4 linked regions of the Ovis aries genome follow. The protein of the gene in region 3 purifies or fractionates together with the protein of the main gene of each other region. This does not show direct contact. Links are inferred from orthologs where the notes say so. Each region holds a gene or a part of one and is shown on either strand. Other genes may lie near its edges.

Region 1 (7,747 bases), on a different chromosome or scaffold from region 3:
TACACTCCTGAACAGAGACATGTAAATAAACTCAACCACTCAAACAGCCAACATATATACACAAAGGGAAGATATCTAACAGAAAAGTACTATTTTCATACCAGGAAAATACAACCAAAAGATAGGTATCATATCTCTCTATGGAGATGAGAAAAGCACCTTGGACTCAGATAATCGGGAAAAAAAAAAAATCACAGATGGTATCAGTGTCAGCACGGAGCAATACCTAGCTTCATGACCAAAGCTCACACATTACTTAAAGCAACATAATCTAATAAGAAACTATTAAGAGTCAGAGAAATACCCTAATCTCCCACTGAGTCACTAAGTGAATCTACACAAATCACGTGGCCTGAGTTTTTTCATCAAAAAGTTGAAATCACACTGATCATTCATCTTGCAGGGGAATGAGAATATTTATGAATGAACTCAGGTCACCTTGAAAAAGAACCAATGTAAAAATAGGAAGAATAATTACTGACAACTGCTAAAAATAGAAAAAGAACTTCCTTCAAAAAGCATATTTTAAAATGATTTTTAAAAGCTATATGAGACCATACATTACCACCAAAGCCAACTTAGTATCTTAGGATATTAAAATAAACATGTCAACTAACCACTTAGTTACTAGCTCCTGGTCAGTAATTTCCTATTTATTTTATAGCAAATAAACATGATAAACAGAACTGAAGTTACACATGTATGAAAAGAATTTTTATTTAACTCAGCCTTCTCAATCACTTTATATAAAACTGAAATCTTACATCATCTTAAAAATTTCAGAATTACTTACAAAGTATGCTTTTCCTAATAAGCAACGGAGTGGGGAAATTTAAATGAAACTGTGTAAAACTGAAACTCTTTAGTTTTTATCTACTTTTTATTATTAATGTTTACATCTTATTTTGGGAGAGTAAAAATACTACCATAGATCATACCAAAATATAACGCAGATGTATTCAAATGTTTAGACAGCAGTCTGATAGTGAACTGGTCACCAAAAAATTAAATATGAAATTAGTTAAGGAAGTCTTAGAAAATACATGCTTAAGTTGGGTATCGTGGCTCCAAAGAAAGAAAGGTTCACGTCTGAATTGGTACAGCTTTTGCTCATATTATTTTTGAGATTCAATAGTGATTATTATGCAGAAAACCAAAACTAAGTTTACTACCATACTAAAAACTCTCACTTTTCATCCCCAAAGAGAAATTGAAATTTCTTCAAATACAAGTCTTTTCTTCCTAAAGGTGGATAGTACTATAATGATCCCTAGCACAGGTTCAAAAAGCTTTCGAACTACAGTAAACAAATTTGTTGAATGGCTTTCAAAAGGAAACATCCAATATACTCATCTCAAAATACTAGAAGTAATTATTTACTATTCAACTTTAATTTACTAGACTTTCATGACATACTTCAAAACTATTTTCAAGTAATTATTGTAAGTTACTAGTAACTTCGAAGACTCAAAAGAAACAATAAATCATACTGCTGAAATTTCCTCTAGGTATACCATAAAGTATTTACCCAAATAATATAACTAGCACTGTAAGATCTGTGGAATACTTGGAGCTGTTTCCTTCCACTGAATTTAAAAAAAAGAAAAAGAAATACAAGATTAGCCCTGGTGAGTATTCCAACCAATACAGGGGAGTAGAGCAGACTATTCATAATCTCTAGGGAAACAAATTATTCTTTCCAACTAAGTTATCAAGGATGTAAAGTTCAAGTTTAGGTTTTACTGAAGTTTCGCAATATCTTCTCCTTTAAAAATAACCTATTTACCTGGTTTGGACCAAACAAAATATTTCCAACCTACTTAAAAGTAGTATTTATGCTAGCTGAATGAAAGGTATCATACAACCTGTATTACTTACGGATTACCAAATATGTAGAATTAGGAAAATAAGGTCTAATAAGAACTAATTCACTATAATGCCAAAGTCACAACAAAAAAATCAATCACACAGACATATGACATACTGATTCAAACAAACATGTGTAAGAAAGCTCCCTTTATAACTATAAAACGCCAAAGATAAGTTTTTCCTGTTGATGAAAACTAAGCAAGCAGAACTCCACTTTCCATTACCTTTAACTGAAGGATGTTCATCCCTTGACATACACCTCAGTAGTTTATTTAAATAAAGTTGTAAAGACAATCACAGGTTCTTATCAGGGCCTTTTTCAACATTAATATTGAAGCCCTTACCCCGCCCCCTCACCCTCAAATCCTCCGCTTAAGAAATGAACTGTTCCTACCTTCCGTATTCTCCTCTCCGCCCCCAGCCCCAAACCCTTTCCCAGTCCCCATTTGCGTGCCCCCCACCCAGTGTAGGCCTGAGGCCCTGTAGCAAACAGTGTCTAACAGGAGCAGGCAGCACAAAGACAGGAATGGGAGATTAGTGGGAGGGAGGGAGGCCGGGATTGGGGCTCAGCAGGAGCTTCAGGCTTTTTAAAATTCAAACTGCTCCCTGACCAATACAAATCACGGACACGCTACTGACTACTACACGGATTTATAGCATTAAAAACATGCCTAGTACGTGACAGCTATATTAACTTCACTCTTTCTAACATTTATCCATACGTTTGCAGGAAACGTGGAAGAATTTACTTTAAGCAAAAGGCTAAACTCAAAAATCACCTCCAGAAAAGTTACTTGTTCTACGATGACATAATAATTTAATGAGAGGCAAAAAATTTGAACCAACGTAACACTCACCAATAAAACAAGGGACTTTGTTGATCGGTGTTGCTTCATTTTAACCAATGAAAGTTTTCCTTCAGTGAATATGAGACAAAGTATCAAAACAGTCTAACCCAGGAACAATTATTTTTCTATGCAACTTGTATGGCTGAGCACTTTTAAACTGGCTTTTCCCTTATACCAACCTACATTATCAACGCCTCCACAAACAAGCTCCAAGCACTTAACTTACTTGTGAGCTAGAATTTAAGATAAAATTGATATTTTTCTCCAGCATTTACAGATACATTTGACCTATTAAAATGACACCTCTCTCATTACACAGTCAAACATCATGGGCACAAACAGCCAATGACAATCCTGGGACCTCAAGAAGATCTGCCCTGACATGAAAGGATGGCACCTTTCACATTTTTTTTTAACCTCCCAGGGATTTTAAGCATAACTTCATTTCTGTCCTTTTAAAGGAAATTGGATGTACTTATATCTCACCGCAATTCTCAGAACATTTAAAAACCTTTTTAAGCTTCTACACGTTTAGATCAGGAAGTACCTGAGTGTTTCACGTATAATCAGTTAAAACTGTCCTTATATAACGCACACAAATATAAAGAGGCAGGGTAAACCTGTCAAGTACTTTACACTTGTCTCTGAATAAAAAGTCCATGTGCAACACACTGTCAAACAACAACATAAAAGCGCTTTGCGTGGGTGGGGGGGTCATATGCAGTGTCTACTATACTATAGTTTTCTGTATTAAATATTCATGTGGACGATTTAATTTTCCTTAAAAAGAAAATGAGTCTTTATTAACTTTCCAACGTCCAAACAAGTTCTACACAGGAAAAGAATTACCACTGGATCCGTGTCTGAGTATTTACATTTGTCTCACTAACTGAAACTACTTCCTCCCTTCATGGGGTCACAGGGGGAAGAAGGGGGGTTGTTTGTTTCACTGGGACGTTCCCCACTCCCGGACCAGGAAAGTTGTAAATATGGGGACGGAGAGGGCACATTTGCTGTTAGTTGTATTGTTTCCGCCTCCTCACTAGCTACAGCTCTTCTCCCGGGCGAGGCCTGTCACCGACCAGCAGTAGCTCCGCTCAGCCCGGAGCTCTCCTAATCCCCGAGCTCAAGTAGATTCCGCTGGCCCGCGGCCTGCACTCTCCGCCGGGCCTACGCCTCCCCGGCCGCCCGGCAGGAGCCCAGTCCCCGCCACCGGAGCCGGCCGGGAGAGGGTACAAAACCACCGCCACCCAGGGCGGCTGCCACCAGAGAGGAGCGAACTCTAGACTCGCCCGTGGAGGAGACCTGGGGCCGCTAAGGAAACGGCGGGGAGGGGAGCGAGGAGGAGAGACGCTGAGGACCTGGCGCCGCCGCCGCCGCCGCCGCCGAAATAAAGAGCAGGAATTTACCTGGGCGAATCGGCGTCTGAATCCAAGGGGAGGCCGAGGCCGCTGTGGCGAGAGACTATAATCCGGGCCGGGAGGGGGGGTGGCTACGGCTCCTCTTCCGTCTCCTCAGTGCGGGGAACATGTAGAGCCGGGGGGAGACCAGCCGAGAAGACAAATCGCTGCTTCTTCTTCCTCCTCCTCCTCCTTCTCCCACATAGAAACACTCACAAACACCCGACCAGGGGCCCGAGCTACCGGGGGGGCATCGCCGCCGGCCCGGGAACCAATCCTCCAGTCGGCGGGGGCGTCCCTCCCTGCGGCTTGGTGGTGTCGGGTGAGTCGGTACCGACGGAGGGAGGGGGGGGAGGGCGGGGGGGGAAGGAGCCCTGTGTGTGTCTCTCTCTCGTTCCGTCTCTCCCTCTCAGAACAAAATGCCGACCGGAAGTGCAGCTGCAGGAATGACTCCCTCCGCCGGCGCCAAACACTAACAACCACCCCCTCTTCCCCACTCCACTTCCGCCACCGCCGCGCCGCCGCCGCCACTTGGGCTCGCGTCTTCGGCCTCGCCGCACTGCACAGCCCGTGCCGCTCAGCTCCGCACCGCACCCGAGGCCCGGAGGCGGCCGGCAGCGAGGCGGCGGGGGCCTCTCCTCCGCGCCCTTCTCGTCGGGGCGGCTGTGGACGTTGCCTTTTAGTGTCGATCCTGCGGAGCGGCGTTTTCGCTGTGGCACGAGCGGGCCAGGTCTTCCTGGTCTTTATTTTCCTGGAGGCCGGCCGGAACGGGGCCTGAGCCTCGGTGGTGGTCGTATGCGTGGGGGGCGCTCAGGCCGGGACCGGCTCGCAGACCACGCACGCCGCCCCAGCTGCTCGTCATTAGCTCTCGGGAGCCGAGCTCGGGGCGGCCACGTAGAGGACGCCCGCGATCGGACGGCGACCGAGCATTTTTTAAATGGTGTCCCTGCAGCCGGGTGGATGGATGTATCGTATTGTACACTCTTCTCTCTTTTTGAGAGGCCGGACTTTACTCCCATCTCTGCATTATTTCTGCGGAGTAAGGACGCAACCCTTGAAGGAGACGAAGATTCTCAGCTGGATTGAATTGGAATCGTGTTTGTAATGCATTTATTTCTGGAAATATGTGGTCTTTTCTGGGCTCGCTTTTTGTTGATGGTGGTTTTGGCTCTTGCCTAGCAGTCGGGATAAAGGCCTGTAGGCGACGCTGTTCGAGCGAGGAGCCGGCCCGCGGTGGGCCCGGAGCGCGCCCCATTCTAGGTGTGGGTGGAGCCGAGCGCGCGGGGAGAGCCGGCGGACTGCGGGCCGGGCCGATTTCAGACATCGTTTTCCTCTTTACGCTCGAAACAGAGGTCCTGACCAAGGCTGGAGTACAGATGCGATTCTGTGTACAGTACCGAGCCTTCTGTAGTCTCTTACTGAAACACCTGAAATAACTTTATCATACAGTTCACTATTAAGTTTACTATTTACTTCTGTAAATATAGAGGGTGCTATTCTTCAGGTAAAAGTGCCTAGGTAAGCGGATTTTATTCAAATGGGACGAAATTTGTGTTATATTATCGTGAGTTTACTTAAGTTGTATGTGAACTGTATTTGTCTGTGTACCAGTACGCTGAAAGTTAAACAGGCAAATTTGCCCGCGGGCCATTCCTTTTGCTTCAGAGATCGCTACAAGGACTAAATCAGATCTTACGCGTCTCTCGAGCCGGCATTTGCTTAGCCGGGAGTAAAAGCCGAAGTCTTGACCACGGCCTGAAGGCGCTGCGCGCGGTGGGGCGCGGGGAGTCGCCTCGGTTGCGGAGCCAGCAGGGTGTCTGCTCCGCCTTCTACCAAGCTCCTTCCACGAGTGCCACAGAGTTTCTCTCTTACTTTCAGGGTTTTGCTCGGCTGTCTCCTCGGGGCTCTGTGGCCTCTCTTTAAACTGGACGTTCCCGATTCCCTCCTCATTTTTATCCTGCAGGCATTCTACTTATCATGCTTGTTTATCTCATCTGTACCGATAGAATAATGTAAGCTCCAGGAGGGCAAGGTCCTCCCCCCTCGCCGCCCCAAACTGGAGTTTTGTGTAGAAAATACTGCCTGACACACAGTATTTGCTTAATAGCTGGATAATGAATGAACGACGATTATAAGGGCCTTGACCTCACCCCACACATACACCCGTTTCTGAACTCTATTCCTTACGTGTATATATACTTATATGCTACAGAGAACTTTTATGAAAAGTGTGTGAAAACAAAAGAAAACCGGGGGGGAAAGTGCAAGTTTATTACAAAGTTCTAGGAAACGGCACTACTTCTAGACATTGAAAGCCCCCTAGAAGCACCAGAAGCCCACAAACGAGTGATAGTTACATGTTTTTAGATAAATGGGCTTGCTCGAGGACAGTACATTATGTGATCCATTGGATTATGAGTATATTCATATTGCTTTCCTCTCTTCCTCAATCAAACTGCATTCTTCATCCATTCTGTACTCTTTCTTGAAAACCATGCTATTTTCACTAAGTTAAAGTATGTGAAAATTTGGTTGGCTTAGTCCAAATCCAGCACTGCTGTAGAAATTCATTCAGCAAGTACATATCGAGCACAAAATATATTCCGCCCGGCACAATGATTCAAAAGGTGCTGTGTTTCTGAGGCTTAAAGGACCACATATGGCTACTTTGGTTACTACTAAATTATGCTGTCAAGCAAAGCAAACGCTAGTTAGATTTATTTTTACAGTTTCATTCTGAAGAAAAGGTTCAGTGAAAGCTGAGGTCAGGCTTAGTTTGGATATTTTAATTCACCTTTTAGTTTGCTGTTCATTTACTTACTTTATTATGATAAGTACCACGTATACCAATAAGTTAACTGGTAAATTGATTTTTGAAAACTGAAACATGTAGAATTTTTACTTACTAGTGGTTGGATGAACAAGACTTTAAAATATATGCTATAAGCCTTTGGGAATTATTTCATGTATGGAAATTTTGGACAAGAAAAGACAATCTTGATAAGTATTTCATAACCATTAATACAATTAAGTAGACATTGTCTAGTAAATCCAACAGTTTGTTCATTATTAAGCACAGCTTTGAGTAATATACAGATGGTTCAGAATGTGTTTTTCATTCCTTTTCAGAATACTAATATTTCAGTTTTCTTAGAGAAGCAAAATTATCTTCTTATATACTTCCTTAAATGTTACTGTTAAGCTGAAAATTTTGCATGTTCAGGTAACAAAAGTCTTGGCATTGTTGTACCATTTAATTTAAAATTTTAGGTATTTTTTTTCTTCCCTCACTACTTAAGAGGAACTTACTAGGTGCTATAATTAGCTTTTACAGTAGGCACCTCCTAAACATTAGTGAATTAAAAACAGGGTCTCTGCCGTTAAGTGGTTTAACTTGTAAAGTTTATAACAATTTTTTTCCAAATCTTAGAACTAATGAAATTGTTTCAATGCATAACAGGATATTTCTCCATTAAATCAACTAGTGTTTTGTTTTCCTAAATTTAAGTATCCAAGTTGAGCTCTTATGTAGACTCTACAAATATAATCTTAGTGTTTAAAACTTTTATGTCCAAAATCAGTTGATTTATGGTGGTGGTATGTTTCACTGCTAAATCCTTGATTTATCAT
Region 2 (7,138 bases), on a different chromosome or scaffold from region 3:
TATCAGATTTTATATTATAGTGTAATAATTTGCATTTTCTGAACATAATGTTCAAGAGGAAGTATCTATACACAATAACATTCTAGACTATCAGAAACTAATTCAAATTACAGAATTTTATTGATACAGTAGATTAATAAAAACTGAAAAGGGATGATAAAACGGGATAAAGAATTCAGTACATTATTTTATTAACACACTCTTTAAAATTAAAATATTTTAAATCTCTCTCTTTTTAAAATTTTCGTTGCCATGACAGGCCAGAAAATTCTGGGACCAATACTGAGGTGTAAAATAATCAAACAACTTCAGGACTGTTTCACCATTTGTGTGGCGTCCTCCCATCAGAGGCATGATTCAGGTGTGATGGCAGACCACTTAGCACCTCTGCAGATTAAGGATGCCTGGGAGTAAACACCAGCTAACAGACGTATGGGAAAGAGAGCATTTCAACTCTCCAACAAACAGTGACATCAAGAAAATGACACCATTTGTTGAAAAAAAATTTTTTTCACAGTAAATTGCAGAGAATACAAATACAAACACTGACAGATTACTGCTTAAGATCTATCCTAACAAACTCTTTTCAAATCAATAGATCCAATAAACAGCTGGGCACTGTCAGTTTAAAGCCACAGATAAAAGCTATACAAGCACTTTAGAAGTCAGAAACATTTAAAAAAAAAGAAAAATATATTTACAAGTTTCTTCTTTAGTTTATGTCTACATAGCCATCGCACATTAGACTCTTTCATAAGACTCCACAGTCAATGTTGTCACCATGCGCATGGCTAAAGCGTGTGACCACAGACACATGAGGTCATCAGAGTAAGGTCCAACTGTCCACTCTTCAGCAGTCCCATTTTGTGCATCAAAGGCTTTACTCAGCCTGAAGCTTGATAACCATTTTTTTCAAAGCTCTCACACAGAAAGTTATTAACGGCATCTGTTCATCGCCTTTCTCTTTTAGAACCTCGCCGCCGCACCTTGAAAGAAACATCAACAGGTGTAATTACCATTGTTTTATAACCAATTATTATTCTTAACACGTTCCTGATAGTCCTTTCTTAAAATCTTTCTCCTACATTAACTTTCAGCCTTAGCATCACATACATGAATGCTTATAAATAGCCTTTCCCAGGATTAGCAAAAGAGAAAATATTTTACTTTTCTGTTTAATAATTTTAAAGAGAAATGAACAGAAGTCAATGTCAATGGCAAAAAACAATGACAAACATCACCATGTTATTTATGTGTCTTTAATAAAGGAAAACATCTGGTATTTATGAACTTAGGCGTATAGCTACCTTTCTCAGAAGTTACTTATTGAGTTTGGATCATAATAACTATCAAAAAGATATAAAAAATGTGGCAAGTACTAATGAAAACATAAAATTTCAGATAAAATAAGTTTAGTATTATGAAGAGGAACACAAACAGAACAGGATTTTAATGTAATTAACTTATAGTTTAGTTTTCCTTTAATGAAGCCATCAGTTACTATGTACACATCAGCCTTATTTTTATACCTTCCCCCCATAAAAACCCTTTATAAGCCAAACTAGTTTGAGACCATAATTCAACATATTTTTTTCCTCTGGTCTTCAACTAATTCAGATAAATGAATCCTGATGCAGACAGAGGTGCTGATTATATTAAATAAGACAGAGAGGCAGGGGTCAACTCTGGGGCTTGATCACAGGACACACGTTTCTCAAACAAAAAACTGAAACTAGCTGAGCTGATCCACAGATTCAGCAAGAATATTAGCAATACACAGCTCTTACTTAGACGCATCAATTATATTTCTTCCAAAGAGAAAAATCGGAGCTGTGACAGGCAGCCATTCATTATTTTAAAAAGTATCTTGGGAGGCATCACATTCCTACTTTTGTGAAAGAAAGGTCTATTGCCAATTTTTATGAATTCCAAACGCTAATTTTATTTGAAGACATGACTTTATTCTACATGACTGACTAAATTCTAGTTGCTACTGAGAAACTCAAACAAAAAACTTATACGAAATATCACCAAGAGTATATGTAACAGATACTGGGAAAACTTAAGTGCATGTGGTGTCGTCCTGAGACTATCACTTGCTCTTCTCTGTATTCAGTTGTACACTGGACATTTACACTTTCACTAGGCTATGTCTATTATTCTCACTTGGTTTCAGGTTTTCATAAATGATATTTTCTCCACAATCTAAGCTGATAGATGAACTAACACACTACAAACAAATGAAAAAATATATACATAAATATTCAGAATTATTAAGTAACAGCAAGTGCTAAAAGAATCTGACCACTTATCAACTCTAATTCTACTGAATATACTCCATACTATCACACATGGAACTTTAAAAAACACATACATTTACTGTAGAGACTTCATCTTCTTCTGTTTCTTCCTGTGGATTTTCATCATTGACAGGAGAGCTACCCTGAAACACATCTATTTCTTCACTTGAGTCATTTTCTTTAGTAGCTGCTTGTTTAGAGCGTCCTACACGGCTAGAGTAAAACACAGGTAAAATAAAATGAACATTGTGATCTTTAAGTGGTAGTTTACCTTCATAAGAGGCCTTCCCTGGTATACCACTCAGCTGGTTAAGAATCTGCCTGCAAGGCAGGAGAATCAGGGGTTTGATTCCTGGGTTGGGAAGATCCCCTGGCGAAGGGACAGGCTACCCACTCCAGAATTCTTGAGCTTCCTTGGTGGCTCAGACGGTAAAGATGAATGAATGCAGGAGACCTGGGTTCAATTCCTGGGTTGGGAAGATCCCCTGGAGAAGGAAATGGCTACCCCCCCGCCCCCCCAGTATTCTGGCCTGGAGAATTCCCATGGACTCCATGGGGTCACGAAGAGTCGGAAATGAATGAGCAACTTCACTTTCTACTTTACTTCATAAGAGGAAATGCTTTAATTACTTAATAGACTGTCCTTTATTATCATTTTTACCCTCAATTACCGTGTAAGCCAAGAAATATTTTTCTTACATTCTAAACCCTAAACCAGTACTTAACCCTAGATTGTTACATATAAAAAGATCTAACAAATAACAAAAGTCAGGGTGACTGAAACCAACGCCATAAAGGATTTTAATATATAACCCAAAGTCTACTCTTCCTTTCCCAAGTCTGTAAAAGGCATCTATGTCTACTGAGTTGCTGAAACCAGAAAATTTAGAGTCTTCCTTAATAGTGTGCAATTCTTTGTCTGACCCAAAGATTCTACTTGTAAAGAAATATCAAATCCATTCACTCTCTCCATCTTCACTGTTACATCATACATATTTCTAAACCATTCTCATCTCTTGCCTCTAAGTAATCTTTTAAAAATGTAAAACAGCTGATGTCATGCCCCTGAGAGAGGCCCCTACTGTACTGAGAGTAACTGCATTAACCTCCTTGATAAGTACATAAGGACCTTTAGACTGGCCTTGCCTACTTTCAGTTCTCATCTCTTTCTATACCCCAATTCCCTGAAACTGCAATACAGCAAAAACTTTGCCTTCCTTCGGCTCTCTGAATTTGTCAAGATTGTTCCCACTTCAGCACCTTCCAAAACAATGTCCCCTCCACTTGAAATGTTCCTCTCCCTACTCTCTAGAAGTCTAAGTCCTACTGTTCTCAAGGAATCAACTTGAGGAATCAACTTGTTCTCAAGGAATCAACTTTCCAAAGAGAAAACTTCCCCAGTTCCCCAGCCCTCTCATTACACTCTCTTACAGCACCCTAACTTTGTCCTCCAAGGTACATTTCACAACTTATTATTTCACATTCATGTGTGATTATTTAATAACTACATTCCCTTTTAGATGCTAAGCACTATAAGGATGTCTGTTTTCTGTCACTATATTCCTTAGCACCTAGTACTCTCTGACACATAGAAGATACTCAAAAATATGTAACAGATACCACCATTTAATTAAACGTATATATCTGTTGGTATTTAATTTAGAATTTCCTCATCATTTCTATAAGCAACTGAATATACATACTGTTTAATCTGTACTCAAACCAATTTTCTCAAATTTACTTGATTTAGTTTTTCAGAATTAACAGAAGAAAATACAGGGAAAATAATATAATCTTGCTCAATTCCACTAAGATCAGAACAAGAAAACAAGCAAATAGTAACATATGTGATCATACTACCTCTAAAGAGGGGCCTTCCAGTAAAAAGAAGTTAGGCTGTTAAGATAGGACATAGACTCTCTCTCTCTGTGTGTTGATTTTTTTAACAGAAAATACTTGCTTCATTAAAAACATTCCCATGAGGAGGACTTGTGTAATTTTACAAGACAAAATGATAATCATATAAGCCCTTAATTTTATGATGCCCCAATATAAATTAAAGTTATAAGCATGAAAGATATTTACCCTGTTATTTTGTTATAAAGTTAATCATTGAAATTTAGGCTATCTTAGGAATTTTTTTTAAGTTATTTTTCCATGGTTGCATACAAACACATTTATAAAGCTGCCGAAAAAATGTACTTACCTTTACTTTTTACGTGAAGGAAAAATTAAATGGAAAAAGGTGGGAAGTACTGGCTAGACACTCAGTAACTTTTCCCATGGAATACACAGGAACAGGAAACTATGAACTGAGTGTTTAACCAAGGTGTGCTGGCAACTGAAAAGTCAAGCCACTGAAGTATGAGATTACTTTCAGAAAAACTGTAAAATTTCTGACAGACAACATGCTACTCTGTTTTTGCTTTAAATGAGGAAAAAAGTGCCAAATTTATAAATTACAACATTGATGCCCCTGCCACTTTAATAATTTTGGACACAGATTTGTTACTATAACTCTCCTATAAACATGTACTTGTGTGAACATCCAAAACTATCTATATGTAGATACAGATGTGTTAATTTACTTAGAAAACAATATCAAGACATCAAAAGCTTGAGATCACTATGTGATAATTTCCACCAACGTACTTAGGAAAAATGATGCCTGTTACTTTCCTACACTGATCAAAGAATGAAAGCAAAAGTGTATAAGCTATTTTTTTAAAGCTGCTGAGGAAAGATGGAAAACCTGTGGTGTGGAGTAACAAGAAAATGTGATCTATGCGTGATTATTTAAAGATACGCCATCGTCTCTTTAGGTACCATAAAGTGTGTACTGGAAATAATCAACTATTTGGTATTTGTTTATAACCATTTCTCTAAAGCCTATAAAAATGTACAAATGTCGCCAAAGGATGATTGGGATATTAATCACCTAGGTAAGTTTACAAAAATTTTATCTTACCTAGTATAATGGGCTAAATATATGGGTGGCTCAGACAGTAAAGAATCTGCCTGCAGTGTAGGAGATCTCGTTCGATTCTTAGGTCAGGAAGATCTCCTGGAGAAGGGAATGGCAACCCACTCCAGGATTCTTGCCTGGAGAATTCTTCCTTGGAGAATGGACAAGGGAGCCTGGTGGGCTACAGTCCAAGGGGTAACGAAGAGCTGGACACGACTGAGCAACGAACACTTTCACTATGTATTGTTATACTTAGAAATTTATGAACTCTTGCAAAATAATTTGAAACTGGTTTGAAACTTAATATTATTTACAACTTACACATTTTTGGGGGGTTGTGATGGTGATGGTGTTTTTGATGGTCTTCCTCGTCCTTTCTGTGGTGTGGACTGTGTGGATTCAACTGCACTAGTTTCTGGAGACTCTGCTCTGCTTTGGGAAAGACCCAGATGCAGACAGCATCAAGTTATGATTTACAGTACAATAACTGAATGCATGCAGTTCAGAGTGGCACACACTTACCTCTGCTGTGCTCTCCTTGAAGGCCGGTGCTGTTTACTTTTTGACTTCTGCTCTGTGTTTCCACTTTGTCTTTCTTCTTCCTCCTCCTCTTCTGCTGTTGAAGGTCCAGATTTTTTTTTGCTTCCTTTTTTGGATGTTTTCATCGTTGGCTCTTCTTTGGGTGTACCCCCACCAAGAGGTTTTGGTGGTCGGCCTCGTTTACCTTTTTTTGGTGGACTGTTCTGTTCATCCTCATTTTCTAGTATATCTTCTTTGAGCCTCTTTTCCTCAGGCCACTGCTGTTCGTCTGACTCTGAAGCTGTATGGCCTCTCTTTCGTCCACGCTGACTGCCTTTAGGTTTCTGTTCCTGTACCAACTTGGAAAGGTCATCCATGCCTAATTTCTCTTCTGAATCTGTTACAGGTGTCTTTTTCCGGCTTCTAGGTTTGTCCAATTCAGACTAGGAATAAAAGCCACGATTTCAAATATAAAACTTAGTATACATTATTTGTGTGTGTGTGTGTGTGTGTATATGTTCAAGAATAAACAAATGAACAAAATCTGTTATCTACTTCAGTTATAAGAATGTACCTAATAAGGTCTAGAGGTTTTAAGCATGTCGGAACCATAACTACCTACTTGCTTTTATTAACAATTTTCTAATATAAAACATAATCTGGGGGTAAGAGGGTAAATTTTTATTCTTACTCTAGCTAAAGAGCCTCAGATGAAACCTCTCAGTAGATGAATAGATGATAAATTTTTGATGAAGAGCTAGTCCATTAAAAAGAACATTCTAAATTCAACACTTAAAAGGAGTCATAGTTCAGTACTCATTATGAAGAATTGCAGTTCTTATTAGTATCTGCTGTCTCTACCAAGTTTTAATTGGCAACTTACTTTCAAATATTTCACAAATGTCTATACTGTTTCAGTAATAAAATCAATATATTTTCTTAAAAAAAAATCCATCTGGTCTACTAAAAAAAAAGAAAAAAAGCCAAATTCAATGCTTAAATAATAGACAACTACACTGAGTATAGTGCATCTGCATTTGACAGTCAATTTAAGTAATCCTAATTTTACCACTCAGTGTATATAATAAGACATAAATATTAACTAGGTAATGCATAATGCATACACATCATAAAAGAACTATTTTATTTCAAAAGTGGAGGTTGTAAGATACAAAGTTAAACATATTCATCATTTATTAAAAATTCTGAAAACATTTCTGAATCAAAGATATTGCTTTTTCCCAGATACAACAATACAAAAATCAGTGACTTCCAAATTTAACATAAAATCCCAGTCTACAGTCACAGAATTTAAGCCTTGACTCGTAGATGGCGATTCTTTAAAGAAATTCTT
Region 3 (7,138 bases):
TCCAGGTAAACCATGTTTAAAGCTGGCACTCTTAATCCCGATACTGTGACACGTGCTCCCCTGATGTCCCTGTTCTTTAAAGGTGACTACAATAAATGTCCATCATTCTAAAAGCTGCTCCTTACCTTATGATGGTATTTGACTCCCCAGATGTCAGGCTAGGGGCTCAAGGATACCTCAATCTCCCCCTTCCACCCAGACTTCCACCTACCGCTTCTTCGCGATTTCATTCTGCCGCTTCACCTTCTCTTCTTCAAACTCCCGGATATTGCGCACACCAATCTCCCGACAAAACTCCTCAAATACCTCATCCTCTACCTAAGGAGAGAAGCAAGGGAGAGAAAAGGCCCTTTGGGTCAGAAGGCTGCTTCCAATCCTATTCCTGCCGGTGCTGGGCAGGTACATCCTCTACCAACCTGGTTCATCTTCTCCTTTAAGTCTTTCATTTCCCTCTCTCGGCTCTGGATGATCCTCTTGATATCATTGATTCGAGGCCCAAAGTTGGCTAGCTCACTCTCCAGCTTGGACTTTTCCTGTAAGAAATGGAATTGAGAAGACAAAAGAGACCAGGATCCTTAGAAAAAAAGAGCCACCCTGTGTGTACCAGTCCCATGGACAAAAAGGGCTAACTCTCCACACACTGAGAACCTGACTTAGCACTACTCCACTCAAGGCTGCATCATCTCTCACTTGAACCATCATATGGCTTCCTTCCCTGGCCTCCAGTCTGTCAGGTTCAATCCAAAAGGCTGGGCACACAATAAACATTGTTATTTACAGGTCGACACTTTCCTCATCTGTAACCCCTGGGGCCAGGTGTGTCTTGGAATTTAGACTTTTTGATTTTAGAAAAATGACATACATATTACATAACACCTCCAGAGTGGTCTGGGGAAGCACCCATAATCAAACACATTAATATAGCTAGAAAAGTACCTCCACTCACAGGGACTGAAATATCTGTAGCTCACTTTCAAAACTCAGAAGCAACTCAAATATTTGCTGAATGAATTAATTAGGTTAATAGCACCTAACATTTACTGAACATTCACTTGGTACAAGCAATCAGTCTAAATACTTCACATGTATTAACTCATTCAATCTGTGCAAGGACCCTATCCTTCTACAGATTATTTACAGATTAAGATGAAAAAATGGACACTGAGAGGTTTACAAAAACAAGAATGTTCTTTGAGTATCTGCAATACATGCATTTGAAAAAGACATTTCTGGAATATATTTTTCAAAAAACTCTTACAAACCAATATAAAAATGATCAAAGGATTTGAACATTGAGAGGTTTAGTAACTTGCCTAATATAGAGCCAAGTCCTAAACCCCTGACTGTCTAACTCAATGCCATCTATTCCTGGTTTCCAGGAACAGACTGGGAGGAAAGAGGGAAGAGGGACAACTTCCCCACCCCTAGAACTGAGCGTAGAGCAGGAATATGAGGATGGCCATTGGCCATGGCCCAACAGGGCTGAAAGCCAGGTCCCACCTGCAGATTAAGGGCCAGATGCCGTGTCTTGGTCTGTTCTAGGTCACTCTGTGAGTACTTGAGCCGCATCTGCAGTCCGTGGGCCTGAGACTGCACCTGACGTAGTTCTGCCTCTTTTCGCTTTGCCTTCATCTGCTCCTGAAGTGGACAAGAGGGAAAGGCTAGGTGGTAAGAAGGTGGCCGGCTGGCCTGGGCTTAGGACTCCCATTCCTAGGGACAGCCCTGCCTGTGGCTTACCTTCAGCTCTTCTGTCAACCGCTCCTTTTTCTCTTTCAACTTGTCTACTGCTTTCTCATCCCAGCGTCGGGCCTTGGCCTTCAGGTCACTGGCCCCGCCAGAGATCACCCCTGACTTCTGGAACAGGGTCCCATCCAGTGCCACTGTCTAAATACAGCAGGGAAAAGAGAGGAGGGGAGAGAAGCTGAACAAAGGAATCGCCAATACTAAGCCTATCCAGCTACAATGTGGCAAGGGAATCCATACCTTGTGGCGCTGGTGGCCTCCAAAGGCAATGCGGCGGGCATCCTCCACATTGTCACAGACAAGGGCATTGCCACAAGCATACTGCAGGGCCTTTTTGATGTGAGGTGGCTCATAGCGAATCACATCAATCACCAGCTTTGCCCCCTTCAGCTCCCGGAGTTTCTCATCTGTAGGTTTTACCTATGAGAAAAAGCTTAGTTAAGTGGCTGAACATGGAGGGCTAGGAGGAGCAGCCCTCTCACACTGCCCTGACCCCATCACCACCAGCCTCACCTCCAGGTAATCAAGAGGCAAGAAGGTTTCAGGCTCCCCACGCTGCTCCTTGATATACTGAATGCAGTCCCGGCCTGTCTTCTCTGAGTCCACAATTATAGCATCCATGTTCTTGCCCAAAACCTTGGTTACTGCAATCTGATACTTCTTTTGTGTGGGCTGGCAGAGGTCAATGAGGCGGCCGTACTAAGGAAAGTCAGAAGAGTGAATGAAGCATGAAGTTTTTGAGAGCTGGCTCAGGAACCCTAACTCCTAGCTTAGAAGGGGGATAGCAGGTCAGAATCTCTATCAGGAGCACAGCTCCCAAACTATGGGGAAAAGGCCTACTCTGGACTTCCCTGGTGGCTCAGATGGTAAAGCGTCTGTCTACAAAGAGGGAGACCCGGGTTTGATCCCTGGGTTGGGAAGATCCCCTGGAGAAGGAAATGGCAATTCACTCCAGGACTATTGCCTGGAAAATCCCATGGACAGAGGAGCCTGGTAGGCTACAGTCCATGGGGTCGCAAAGAGTCGGACATGACTGAGCGACTTCACTTCACTGGCCCCAAAGCAACAACAACTTCAGGCAGTCATGTCTGAATCCAGAATCATCTTTCTAAACCTCACTTTTACCATTTCATAGACCACTGGCACCACAGGCATTATGCAACTTAATTTGGTTCCACAAATAAAGAGCACAATAAATGCAACGCGCTTGAATCATCCCACATTACATTTATTGTGCATTTTATTTCTATTATTATTACATCAGCTCCACCTCAGATCATCAGGCATTAGATCCTGGAGGTTGGGGACCCCTGATCTACGGAAATGATCAAGAAATATTTGTAGAACCCAATTAAGTTGAACCCAGGGATGGAATTACAGCAATAGAGGGATAATATTCAGGGAATCTGGAAACTCAGGATTTCATTCAAGAGGCCAAAAGAACCTAGTAAATGAGCTGACTGTTATATGCTTAAGGAGCTCACACTGAAGCCTGCACAAAGCTACTGATACATCCTGGGAACTAATTCCTGCCCTGCAGCCCCTTCCCTTTCCCAAAGGCCTCTTCACTTTCTCCACCTCCCATAAAGGAGTGGACACAAGCAAGACAAAACTTTCAGAAAGATACAACTGGTGCAATGAAAAGAACACAAGGTTAAGAGTAAGAACAAGTTGGATTTGAATTGCAGTTCTTATACATATAAGCTATGCTGTTTTGAGCAAGTCATTCAACCTCTCTGACCCTGTTTTCCCCAGGTGTAAAAATGGAATTAGCAATCTGTCCTCATGGGGCTGCTGGGAAAATTATCTGACAGTGAGTATGAAAGACAGTGGTCAGGAAATGAATTCCCTTTCGACTCTTACCACAGAACCAGGGTACAGGCGCTTGATGCTTTCCATAATTTCTGCCTTTCGCTGTTGGCGGCTGCTCTCTTGGCGGTCGATGCGGGCATCCCCCAGCTGCTCCATTACCTGGTTCAGCTCCTTATTAATCTCATCAATACGCCGCTTGGCCATCTCCACCTCCTCTGTCAGCTCCCCCTCTAGTTTCTTCTGCTCCTCTAGAGACTGCCTACAAAGTGAGGAAATACTGGGGTTACCCTGGCTGGCCAGAAAATATTCCTGGCCGAGAGGGATGATGAGGGTCCTTCCTGGGGAGGGGCAGGACAGGTAGGGTTCACAAGAACAGGCCTGGAGATAAGAGGGAATGTTACAAAGCCACATACTTGCTGGTTGTGATGTATTCCTCTAGTTTCTCAATCCGTTTCTGATTCTCTTCAATCTCCCGCAGCTTTTGCTTGATCTTGGCCTGGGAGAGAGACAAAAACACTACATCACCATAGGCTGAGCAAGTTAAGGCCAAGACCATAGAGTCCTGGCTCATCCCCCATATGCCTAATCATTCTAACAGCCTAACAATCACAGACAATCTGTCACTAGTATAAGAGGCCTATTAAAAATCGGATATAAACAGTGTTCAGTGTGCCTCTGCTAACTGATGGGGCCACCATGGGCCCTATGAGACCCTCTCATAGGTGTTCTACCCAGCCTGGAACATCTTCCTCACCAAGCAGGCAGGCTCAAACCAAGACAAAGTAAAGCTTTCTGGGCCTTTCTGCACTTCTGCTTTATCATCTATAAAATGCAGGTAACTTCCACTTCATAGAATACACATTAAGTGCTTAACATGTATTAGCCACTAATTCTGTGTGTGTGTGCACTCAATTGCTCAGTCATGTCCTACTCTTTGCGGCCCCATGGACTCTAGTGTACCAGGCTCCTGTTCATGGAATTTGCCAGGCAAGAATACTGGAATGCGTTGCCATTTCCTACTCCAGAGGATCTTTCCGACCCAGGGATTGAACGCTTATCTCCTGAATTGGCAGGTGGATTCTTTACTACTAGCATACCTGGGAAGCCCCTAGCTATTAATTAATGCCTAATACCTTCTTTTAAACATTTAAAACTGCTTAGCACAACGCCCGGAGAAGGCAATGGCAACCCACTCCAGCACTCTTGCCTGGAAAATCCCATGGACGGAGGAGCCTGGTGGGCTGCAGTCCATGGGGTCGCTAAGAGTTGGACACGACTGAATGACTTCACTTTCACTTTTCACTTTCATGCATTGGAGAAGGAAATGGCAACCCACTTCAGTATTCTTGCCTGGAGAATCCCAGGGACGGTGGAGCCTTGTGGGCTGCTGTCTATGGGGCCGCACACAGTCGGACATGACTGAAGTGACTTAGCAGCAGCAGCAGCAGCAGCACCACAATGCCTGGAACATTGTAGGCTCTTGGAATATTATAACAACTTTCCATCATTCCTATTATTTTACTATGATTGTTATTAGGAAGGTGGTAAGTGAAATATACTTGAAAGTGTGGGCTTCCGGGACTTCCCTGGTGGTCCAGTGGCTAGGACTCTATCCTTCTACTGCAGGGGGTGCAGATTCAACCCCTGGTCAGAGAACTAAGATTCCACATGCCACAAGGTGCAGCCAAAAAAAAACCAAAAAAGTGTGGGCTACACTGCCCAGGTTCATATCCCAGTTCTGCCAGTTAATAACCTTAGGCAGGGACCTCCCTGGTAGTCCCATGGTTAAGAATTCACCTGCCAATGCAGGGGACAGAGGTTTGATCCCTGGTCCAGAAGATCCCACATGCTGCAGAGCAAGTAAGCCTATGTTCCACAACTACTGAGCCAGCTTTCTGGAGCCCAAGAGCCACAGTTATTGAAGCCCGTGGGCCCGAGAGCCTGTGCGCCACAAAAAGAGAAGCCACTGCAATGAGAAGTCTGAGCACTGCAACTAGAGAAAGCCTGCAAGCAGCAACTAAAAACCAGGACAGCCAAAAACAAAACAGACAAATAAATAAATATTTTAAAAGATGACTGCATATATGTAAAAACAGTGCCTAGCACACAGTAAGAGCTTGCCTTTTGTTGTTTAGTCGCTATGTCCAACTCTTTTGAGATCCCATGGACTGTAGCCCGCCAGGCTCCTCTGTCCATGGAATTTCCCAGGCAAGAATACTAGAATGGGTTGCCATTTCCTTCTCCAGGAGAATGTTCCCAGGGACCAAACCTGTGTCTCCTGCATTGGCAGGCAGATTCTTTACCACTGAGCCACCAGAGAAGCCCCATGCTAGATGTTAACTATGGTCATTACTGTTAAGACTACTGTTACTTCCTTTTCTCTGGACCATCACCCCTAATCTTGTAAGGCATGCCCACCTCTGTCTCTACTTTCTTCCGTTCTTCCAGATCCAGCCGGTCCTGGTCAGCCTTCTGGTCTCGATTAAACTTCTCCAGCTCCTGGGCCAGGGTAGCTGCTCTCTTGCTGGCTTCTTCTTTCAACCGGTGATATTTCTTCACCTGTGTCAGGGACAGGGGCAACCAAATCAGTCCTGTCAGCCTCGCAATCTATTTGCCCATCCCCGCACCCCTCAGAGCTTACCTGATTCTCCTCCAAGGTCAAATCTCTGCCCTGACTCTGACTTTCCTCTTCCATCCGTTCCTCAAACTCCTGCCGAGCTTTCTCCACTGACAGCATCTCCTTTTCCAGCTCATCCATGTCACCTTTACGCTTCTTATAATGCTTCTGAGCATTCTGTAGCGACTTTTTGGCTGCTTCCAGCTTCTTGATTTTGTGGGAAGTATTTTCCTTGGCCTTGATGTACTGAGGCCGCTTCTGGTTCAGCTCTGAGTCCTTCTCCCTTTCACCAGAGGGGAGGGGGAACCAATTAGCTCAGTGGGAGAAGGGAGGGTTCCAAGGCTTTTTAATCCAAAGGGGGATTAGGCGCTTCCCTTCCAAGCCTCAGGGAAGTGCCTAAAAGAACAGGGCCGATGCCCCACAGATCCTGTGATGGCTTCAGCCTGGCATTCCAGCCACTCTAGAAGGTAAAGCTACCACCCCTGCCTCAACCTTAGCCAGGCCAGACCTCTCGGTAACAACTCCCAAGAGTACCCTGTGTTCACATAACTGTTCCCCATCTGATCTAACCTTTTCAAATTTCTGTTCTTTGACCTTGAAGCTCCAGTTTTCCTCTTCAAGGAAGGGACTATTAGTCACGAATGGCTTCCCATCACTTCTTTTTGGCAAAGCCACCACCCTTTTCAAGTTCTCCTTTTCCGAGTACCTATCTACATGGAGTCTGAGTACTTAAATACTATCTGTCTAACATGCAAGTCAAGAAATGTGCCTGATTCTAGCCAAAGCCAAGTCAAGGGGAAGATGCTTTCCACAAGTTGCAGGCTCAGTCCTGCCACTTACTTGATCTCCTTCTCAATCTGCTGTTGTTCCCGCATCATTTTGCCCAGCTCCTTCTTCTTCTCCTTCAGCTCATCCTCTACCTTGTCCATCCGCTTCTTGTCCTTCTCTATTTCCTTGTTCTTAGAG
Region 4 (7,138 bases), on a different chromosome or scaffold from region 3:
TACTGGGCCTCTCTGTTAAAAAAATAAATTTAAAAAAATCCCACGTGTCCTCCATTTTAAAGCAGACTGTTCAAACAGTGAGAAATGTCCACTTCTGTGCTGATTCAGCCCAACTGTGTACACATTCACATCCTTTTCGTAAAGTGAAAGTGAAGTCGCTCAGTCGTGTCCAACTCTTTGTGACCCTATGGACTGTAGCCCACCAGGCTCCTCTGTCCATGGGTTTCTCTAGGCAAGGATACTGGAATGGGTTGCCATTTCTTTCTCCAGGGGATCTTCCCAACCCAGGGATCGAACCCAGGTCTCCTGCATTGCAGGCAGACAGTATACCCTCTGAGCCACCAGGGAGAGCCATGATTTTTCATAGTTAACTCATGATCTAAATCTCACATAGTAATCCCATTTTCCTGGCCAATGAGTCATCAAACAAAAGCATGTGAGCCAATCTTGGCCAAGGTAAAGGAAGTCGACTTTCTGCATTGGGTGTGGAAAAGTCCTAGGGAAAAGAAATCATTGCTCTTTAAACAAAGAGAAACAAACAGGCCACATTCTTCTGCTGGGCACTATTTAACTAGGTGAGACACAGAGTCAGCATAGGTGCATGAAGAAAGCTAGCAAAAGACAACACGCAGAGGAGAGCAGAGTTTAAAGGTAGAAATTATGAGTCCTTGGTATCACTGAGGCGAACCTTTTCCACCTTAAGCCAGCTGAGCACAGGTCTCATATGGTGCTTTTACTTCAACCAAAGACATATAAGTTGATTCCTCTATCAATCTGGAACTTTCTCATCGAAACCAATATACTCTTACTTTGAAATGTACCTTCTAAAGTTCACCAAATATTTGAAAGTTTTTAACAGGAGGGAAAAATAAAGTAACAAGTTAATTAAGTAACGATGTGAAGTGGCTGCAGTGAAATTCTTATAGGATAACATAAAACAACACAGAACTCTTACTTACTGGACTCTCCTGGCAGAGACACCCAAGAAGCAGTGCGGTGTATGAGGCCACAATGCAATCCTCCATGTGTTTGCCAGCATGTTGAAGGGCTGAAAGTATTAAAACAGAAAACTAATAGTGCATGTGCATATATATATAAACCAAAAACTACAACAACAAAAGCACCTAGGAAACCAGCAACTGTGTCATCTTTACTTCAAAACTGCTAAACGTTGATAATGGTGCTGCTGCTGCTGCTGCTGCTAAGTCACTTCAGTCATGTCCGACTCTGTGCGACCCCATAGACGGGAGCCCACTAGGCTCCCCCATCCCTGGGATTCTCTAGGCAAGAACACTGGAGTGAGTTTCCATTTCCTTCTCCAATGCATGAAAGTGAAAAGTGAAAGTGAAGTCGCTCAGTCGTGTCCGACTCTTTGCAACCCCATGGACTACAGCCTACCAGGCTCCTCCGCCCATGGGATTTTCCAAGAAAGAATACTGGAGTTGGGTGCCATCGCTTTCTCTGGATAATGGTGCTAGGAAGATGTAATATCCACACAAATTAACCAAAAAAAAAAACAAAAACAAAAACAAAACCCACAAATGGTAGAGGGAGCTTAATATAAAAGCTAAAACCATAAAACCCTTAGAAGAAAACAGAGGACTAAATATTTGTGCCCTTGGGTTAGGAAATGGTTTCTTAGACACACCACCAGGACCACAAAAGACAATATAAAAAATAGGTAAGTTAGACTTTATCAAATCTAAAGCTTCACCTTCAAGAAGACAACTCATAGAATTTATCTGCAAACCAGGTACTTGATAAGAATCGAGGCTCTAAAAATTCTACTCAATAACAACAAAAGATAACCCAATTTAAAATATGGGCAAAATATCAAAACTGTAAACACCCTTAGGAGTCATGTTACTTGGTTGCTTCTCTTCACAGACAGTAAAGAGAGGCCCAGGGAGGAAACACAGACCTTCCAACAGTACATACACGCCACTCTCACCGCTAGGTGAAGACTGCTACCAAACAGCAAAGCCTGTGTGCACTCAACCAGAGAGGCCATAAAACAGCAAGATTATGACCACACATGAAGTAAAAAAATGTTTTACAGGGGAAAAAACACACACACACATCTTTTAAAAAATAAAGCAGTCAAAGAAAACATACCTTTATTGAGGTCGAGTTCTTCATCATCCTCCTCCTTCTTGTTTTTCTCTTCTGCACCATCAGTCTTCTCGGTTGATACCCACTGTATTTCTCCACTTGTTTCTTGCCACTCTCCACTCTTATCATGCTGAGTGGTGGGCGCATCTTTGATCAATTCATCTGTTTTACTTTCTGCCAACTGTGCTGCTCGTTCTCGCTCAAGGAACAGCTGATAAACATTTTTGAAGGTCATTAAAAAGGGATCACCTACCAACATCAATGTACCCAAATATAAGGCTCCATTTGCTTTTAAACATCATTAACCCTAAGAAGCATACTGTCTGGTAAAAAGGCTACACATCAGTAAAAGCCCTAGCTCTACATCCAACTGAAGACAAAACAAAACTATAAATGCTGCTGGGATTCAATTAAGTAAATTATCTACTGATGATGCATGCATTCTATTTTTAAGAATGAAAATCTCAACACTTTCCTTTAATTTGGATAATAACGGGCAGGAAGTTCAAGCAAAAATTACAAATTAAAAGTTAAAATTAAAACAGTTAAAAATTCTTTAAATCCAAGCAGCCTGGATAAATTAACTGGAAGGAAGAGAGGACACTGGATAAAGTTTCACAATATTTGGGGAAAACAAATGGCTTCTTTAAAAGAAATTTAAAGAAATAAAAAACAAAGAAAGTAGAAAACAAGTTCTCAGAGAAAGGCAGAACTAAATCTCAACTGCTATATTAACAATAAAAGTATAGTGCTTGCTTCAGCAACACATATAACAGAGAATATTAGCATGGTCCCTGTGCAAAGATGACACTGATATACAGACTTGTTGCCTACAGGGAGGGGGATGGGAGAGGGAAGGACTAGGAGTTTGGGGTTAACAGGTGCAAACTATTACATACAGAATGGATGGATACAAGGTCCTACTCCACAGCACAGGGAACTAAATTCACTGTGATGGGATAAGCCATAAGGGAAAAGAATATGAAGAAGAATGCATATGTATAGCTGAGTCACTTTGCTGTGCAGCAGAAATTAACACTGCAGATCAACAACATTTCAATTAAAAAAATCCAAGTACAATTGTCAATGGAAGTATATACCAAAAAAGTCTAAAAAGGAAACATACTAAAAACTCTTGCCTTCACTTACTTATTTCCCTGTGCTGGCACAAAGTTGAATATACAGAAAGCATTTCATATATTTGCTGATGTGATCTGGAGAAACCCTAAATTACTGATGACAGCTATCAGAAAACTAAATGCCAAGTAGATCTCAAAAACTTGCTGAAATATACAGAAGAATGGTATGTAAACTCTAATACCCTTAAGAAAGTAAATGTATTTTATAGTTTTTTCAGTTTGACTTCTAATTTAGTAAATATCAACAGATAAAGCACACATAAACAAAGCTCTTTGGAGTCCCCAGTAATTGTTAAGAGTATAAAGGGGGGCGGGCCAAAAAAAAAAAAAAAAAAAGAGTATAAAGAAGTCCTGAGATCAAAATGTTTGAAAAGAGACTGACAGGCATCTAGTTGCAGATTATTTCCTGAAAACACAGTTCACAAGCACTTCTAGTTTCAAAAAGACCAAAAGGATTAAAGGTTAGCTAAAATTTCAGAAAAATTGAAAAGGATGGTTCATTATTACTGTCACTTAAGGAAATGACAAAAGTAGCTTGCAAAAAGATAAAAACTGTAATGCCAGCATTGTCGAAAAAACCCCAAAAACTCACATATAGTTTTGGGAGGAAGTATAAACAAGAGGAAAGGGAGTGTTTGGGGTGGGGTGAGTTGGGGACATCAGTTTTAACATATTAGTACACATTCTAACAAGTTAGGAAATTACTCCAAAGATATACATACTTTGAAAAGTATGTCCCAGTATTCAGATGCACACAGTCCTGGGCACAGATCAGACCAGTAAATGCTAGAGGACTAAGGCTAGAAGTTAATACCTAATTTGTTGTTAATGATCTATCTTTGATTCATAAACAAATGGGCCTTGTTTCTGCTTTTTGCTAACAGTGTCTAATGAGTGACTGTCATAGCTGAAAACAGCGGAGTAAATGAAGTAATGGTACACATTCTAACCTCTCACTGAACTGGTAAAAATATCAGAGGGAGAGAGGAGGCTGAAGGGAGACAGAAGATGCAAGTGATCAAGAACTTGGACAGATGCAACGAACAAAGGGTTATGGTTAAACTGTTGCTTACCTGCACTAAAGCCTGAACTGCATGAACTTGTCCAGCTATCCTTAAACTATCATCTCCTTCTCCACTACAGAAGGAAGAATCAAAAGAACATGATGTTTCCATGTTGACAAGACAGTGCCGATTTCGAGCACTATATTCCACTAGATTTATCAGTAGACCTAAACCCTACAAAAATGAAAACATGCATGTTACCACAGGTGAGGATTAAAAGCAAATGAACACAATATGCGTAACCCTTCATGGCAGCCAGAAAGCAAGCCAGTGCTCGACCATCTACACGGTTAAACCCAGTATATAAAATGATCACCTTCCCAATCAAAGACGTCGTTTGCATCATCTTACTAGATCAAGTATGCATGTAAGCAACAAGCCACTTAGACTCACCAGCACTCGAATATCGAATCTCTGCTCCTGAGGTAGGTACTTTGGAACCTGAAGCACGCAGTTCATGGCTGTGCCAATCAAGCCATCCTGCTCTCCTGTTTTGGTGCTGCCCCATTCTGAAGTGGGGAATGGGCAAAGTGTGAAATTGTGACCAACTATTAACACGAATATTAAAAGTTAAAAACACATAGCTTAAAAAAGAATAGTCATTTCTTTATTAAAATATATTGTTGACTGTAATATTTCTAAGCCAAGCCACAAGGCAGGTTCTAAAAATATCAGCTCTTAAAAGCAGTTAAATCTATACATGAATAAGTGAGTTACGTGACAGCAATTTAAAAACCACTACACTGAGAGAAGAAACAAGGGGATTGGCTTATTTTTGCATGTGACACTGTACAGTCTATTAATGAGAATATATGCAGAAGCGTGGCTTACCATTGTCATTGGTTAAGTTGAGCAGCACCCCAATGATGGCTCTCATGCAGTCTTCCACTGCTTTGCCCACGTGGTTAGTTACATTCTGCTGAGGCAGAGGCTTACTGTCAGGTAAGCATATACTGTTCTCAGCACGGTTATACTGCTTAATCAGCTCTTCACAATGTTGTAATGCTCTTAAGAGAAGACAAAATATAGACTATTACGCTCAACAAAAATAGTTATATTAAGAACTTCTACTGACTTGGACCTTAATGCTTTAAATCTGTCATAAAGGCTGTCAAATTAATCTTTTTCTACTCAGATGTTATGTGAACTATTTAATCATGTATCAAACATGTCTGATATCACATTAGGTGCTAAATTTTATTTTGGGAAAACTTGTTAATATAAATTTTTCTAAGCAAAGTGAAAATTATAAACTCGATGTAAAAGTTTATACTACCAACAGCTGTCCCCAATTTTTCCAATCTCTCCAACATAACAAACCTACTACCCCACCTCACCCAAGGTAAAACCATTAAAAGCCAGCACTGGACACTTCTGAATTTCATTTAGATGTTTGTCCTTTAGAATGTGAACTCTCAGCAGGTAGAGGATATTATTTATATTACTATTACATAATAACTGTATAAACAGATACTAAATACTTCATAAACATTAGAACATTTTTAAAAACATGAGGTCATTTAACTGACATGTTTGTCTTCTGGCAGTCATGCAAGGGTATTAGCTACATCTAAGGATTCATAAGATACTACCCAAAGTAACAAAGAAATGTAATCTTTAAGTGGTTCTAGTATTTCTGAGACTCTTTAAATCACTGAGTCCATTAACTTAATATCTATGAGATAATGATGAAATACACAAATTGTGAGTTGATTCTTTATGTATACCATGCAAAATCCTTAAAACTACTATGTCTAATTCCCCTCTAGATGCTTCTTAAAAAAAACTCTCTAATTAGGAAGGTATTCGTGTCTAACCTAAAATAATGTGTTCAGATGTTTGGGGATGTTCACCAGGATTACCATGCTGTTACTGTTAACTGCCTAAGTAGCACTGAACTAAATCTGTTGGGAGGTGAGAAGAGACAGTAAGGGTGTATTGTTTAATTACTCAATATACCATCCTTGCATTTATCAGCATTCTGCTGAAAGCTTCAGAAAGTCTGAGGAGTGGTCTTTCACAAACATCCAATTCTAATGTCTACTGACACAAGTTCCTAATCACAAAAGGTTCCTAATGTTTTAGAACGCATTTGTCAGGAGTCATTAAGCATATCGGAGACATTTTAAAAATAAGATACAAATTTAACTTGCACAAATATTCTTTGGTGAGAAAGTAAAACATAGTAATAGAACAACTAGAACACATACCTTAAAGGTATTAAGTATGACACAGAATTCACAAATACAGGATGGAGGGAAAGCCTACAGACTAAAACAAGAATATTGGGAAGTAGAGACTATTAGAAATTTGGGATTATGGGAAAAACTGAATACTGACTGGACTTATAATATGAAGCAATTGCTAATTTTTAAGAGATGAAAATGCTATTTTGGTTATATTTTTTATTTTTATTTTTTTCCTCAATAATTACTTTTTTTTTTCATTTTATTTTTTTTAATATATTTTTTAAAGAGTCCTCTTTTCTCAAGTATTTATGGATGGAACTATATGAAATCTGTAATCTGCTCCAAAATAATATAGAGGGCAGAATGGATAAGGTTATATATACATGGTAACATGACTGGCCAATGTTTGATGATCACATTCAAGCTGCATGTACACTGGGGCTTATCATATTATTGTCTACTCTTATCTCTGTTTGAAATTCTCCAAAACAAGAAGTTAAAACACAGATAAACTTGAGTCAGGCTGTAGAGGGCCTTTGATACTAAGGACTTTGGACATACATCCAAAGACAAGAAATCACACAGATTTGGAGTTTGGGATTATTTTTACAAAACAAAAATCTGAGGAAGGTTA

The links.
Region 1: the proteins of SMC1A (region 3) and NIPBL purify together in Homo sapiens (affinity purification with mass spectrometry; 3 studies listed by BioGRID and IntAct, with this or other methods). This does not show direct contact. The link is inferred for Ovis aries from reciprocal best matches to the Homo sapiens genes SMC1A and NIPBL.
Region 2: the proteins of SMC1A (region 3) and PDS5B purify together in Homo sapiens (affinity purification with western blotting; 8 studies listed by BioGRID and IntAct, with this or other methods). This does not show direct contact. The link is inferred for Ovis aries from reciprocal best matches to the Homo sapiens genes SMC1A and PDS5B.
Region 4: the proteins of SMC1A (region 3) and WAPL purify together in Homo sapiens (affinity purification with mass spectrometry; 7 studies listed by BioGRID and IntAct, with this or other methods). This does not show direct contact. The link is inferred for Ovis aries from reciprocal best matches to the Homo sapiens genes SMC1A and WAPL.

Annotation. Positions count from the first base shown.
Region 1 is NC_056069.1:37,517,421-37,525,167, forward strand, and holds the start of NIPBL (nipped-B-like protein), read right to left. Parts: upstream 4,539-7,747; 5' UTR 4,127-4,538; intron 1-4,126. UniProt on the Homo sapiens protein: Plays an important role in the loading of the cohesin complex on to DNA. Forms a heterodimeric complex (also known as cohesin loading complex) with MAU2/SCC4 which mediates the loading of the cohesin complex onto chromatin.
Region 2 is NC_056063.1:28,614,296-28,621,433, forward strand, and holds part of PDS5B (sister chromatid cohesion protein PDS5 homolog B), read right to left. Parts: intron 6,228-7,138; coding exon 5,788-6,227; intron 5,698-5,787; coding exon 5,587-5,697; coding exon of another isoform or gene 5,583-5,586; intron 2,514-5,582; coding exon 2,375-2,513; intron 987-2,374; coding exon 951-986; 3' UTR 1-950. UniProt on the Homo sapiens protein: Regulator of sister chromatid cohesion in mitosis which may stabilize cohesin complex association with chromatin. May couple sister chromatid cohesion during mitosis to DNA replication.
Region 3 is NC_056080.1:51,279,347-51,286,484, forward strand, and holds part of SMC1A (structural maintenance of chromosomes protein 1A), read right to left. Parts: coding exon 7,013-7,138; intron 6,456-7,012; coding exon 6,197-6,455; intron 6,115-6,196; coding exon 5,974-6,114; intron 4,052-5,973; coding exon 3,969-4,051; intron 3,815-3,968; coding exon 3,607-3,814; intron 2,443-3,606; coding exon 2,257-2,442; intron 2,164-2,256; coding exon 1,984-2,163; intron 1,885-1,983; coding exon 1,738-1,884; intron 1,639-1,737; coding exon 1,501-1,638; intron 534-1,500; coding exon 413-533; intron 319-412; coding exon of another isoform or gene 315-318; coding exon 212-314; intron 1-211. UniProt on the Homo sapiens protein: Involved in chromosome cohesion during cell cycle and in DNA repair. Central component of cohesin complex. The cohesin complex is required for the cohesion of sister chromatids after DNA replication.
Region 4 is NC_056078.1:40,193,600-40,200,737, forward strand, and holds part of WAPL (wings apart-like protein homolog), read right to left. Parts: intron 5,323-7,138; coding exon 5,147-5,322; intron 4,825-5,146; coding exon 4,709-4,824; intron 4,490-4,708; coding exon 4,325-4,489; intron 2,324-4,324; coding exon 2,116-2,323; intron 1,049-2,115; coding exon 960-1,048; intron 1-959. UniProt on the Homo sapiens protein: Regulator of sister chromatid cohesion in mitosis which negatively regulates cohesin association with chromatin. Involved in both sister chromatid cohesion during interphase and sister-chromatid resolution during early stages of mitosis.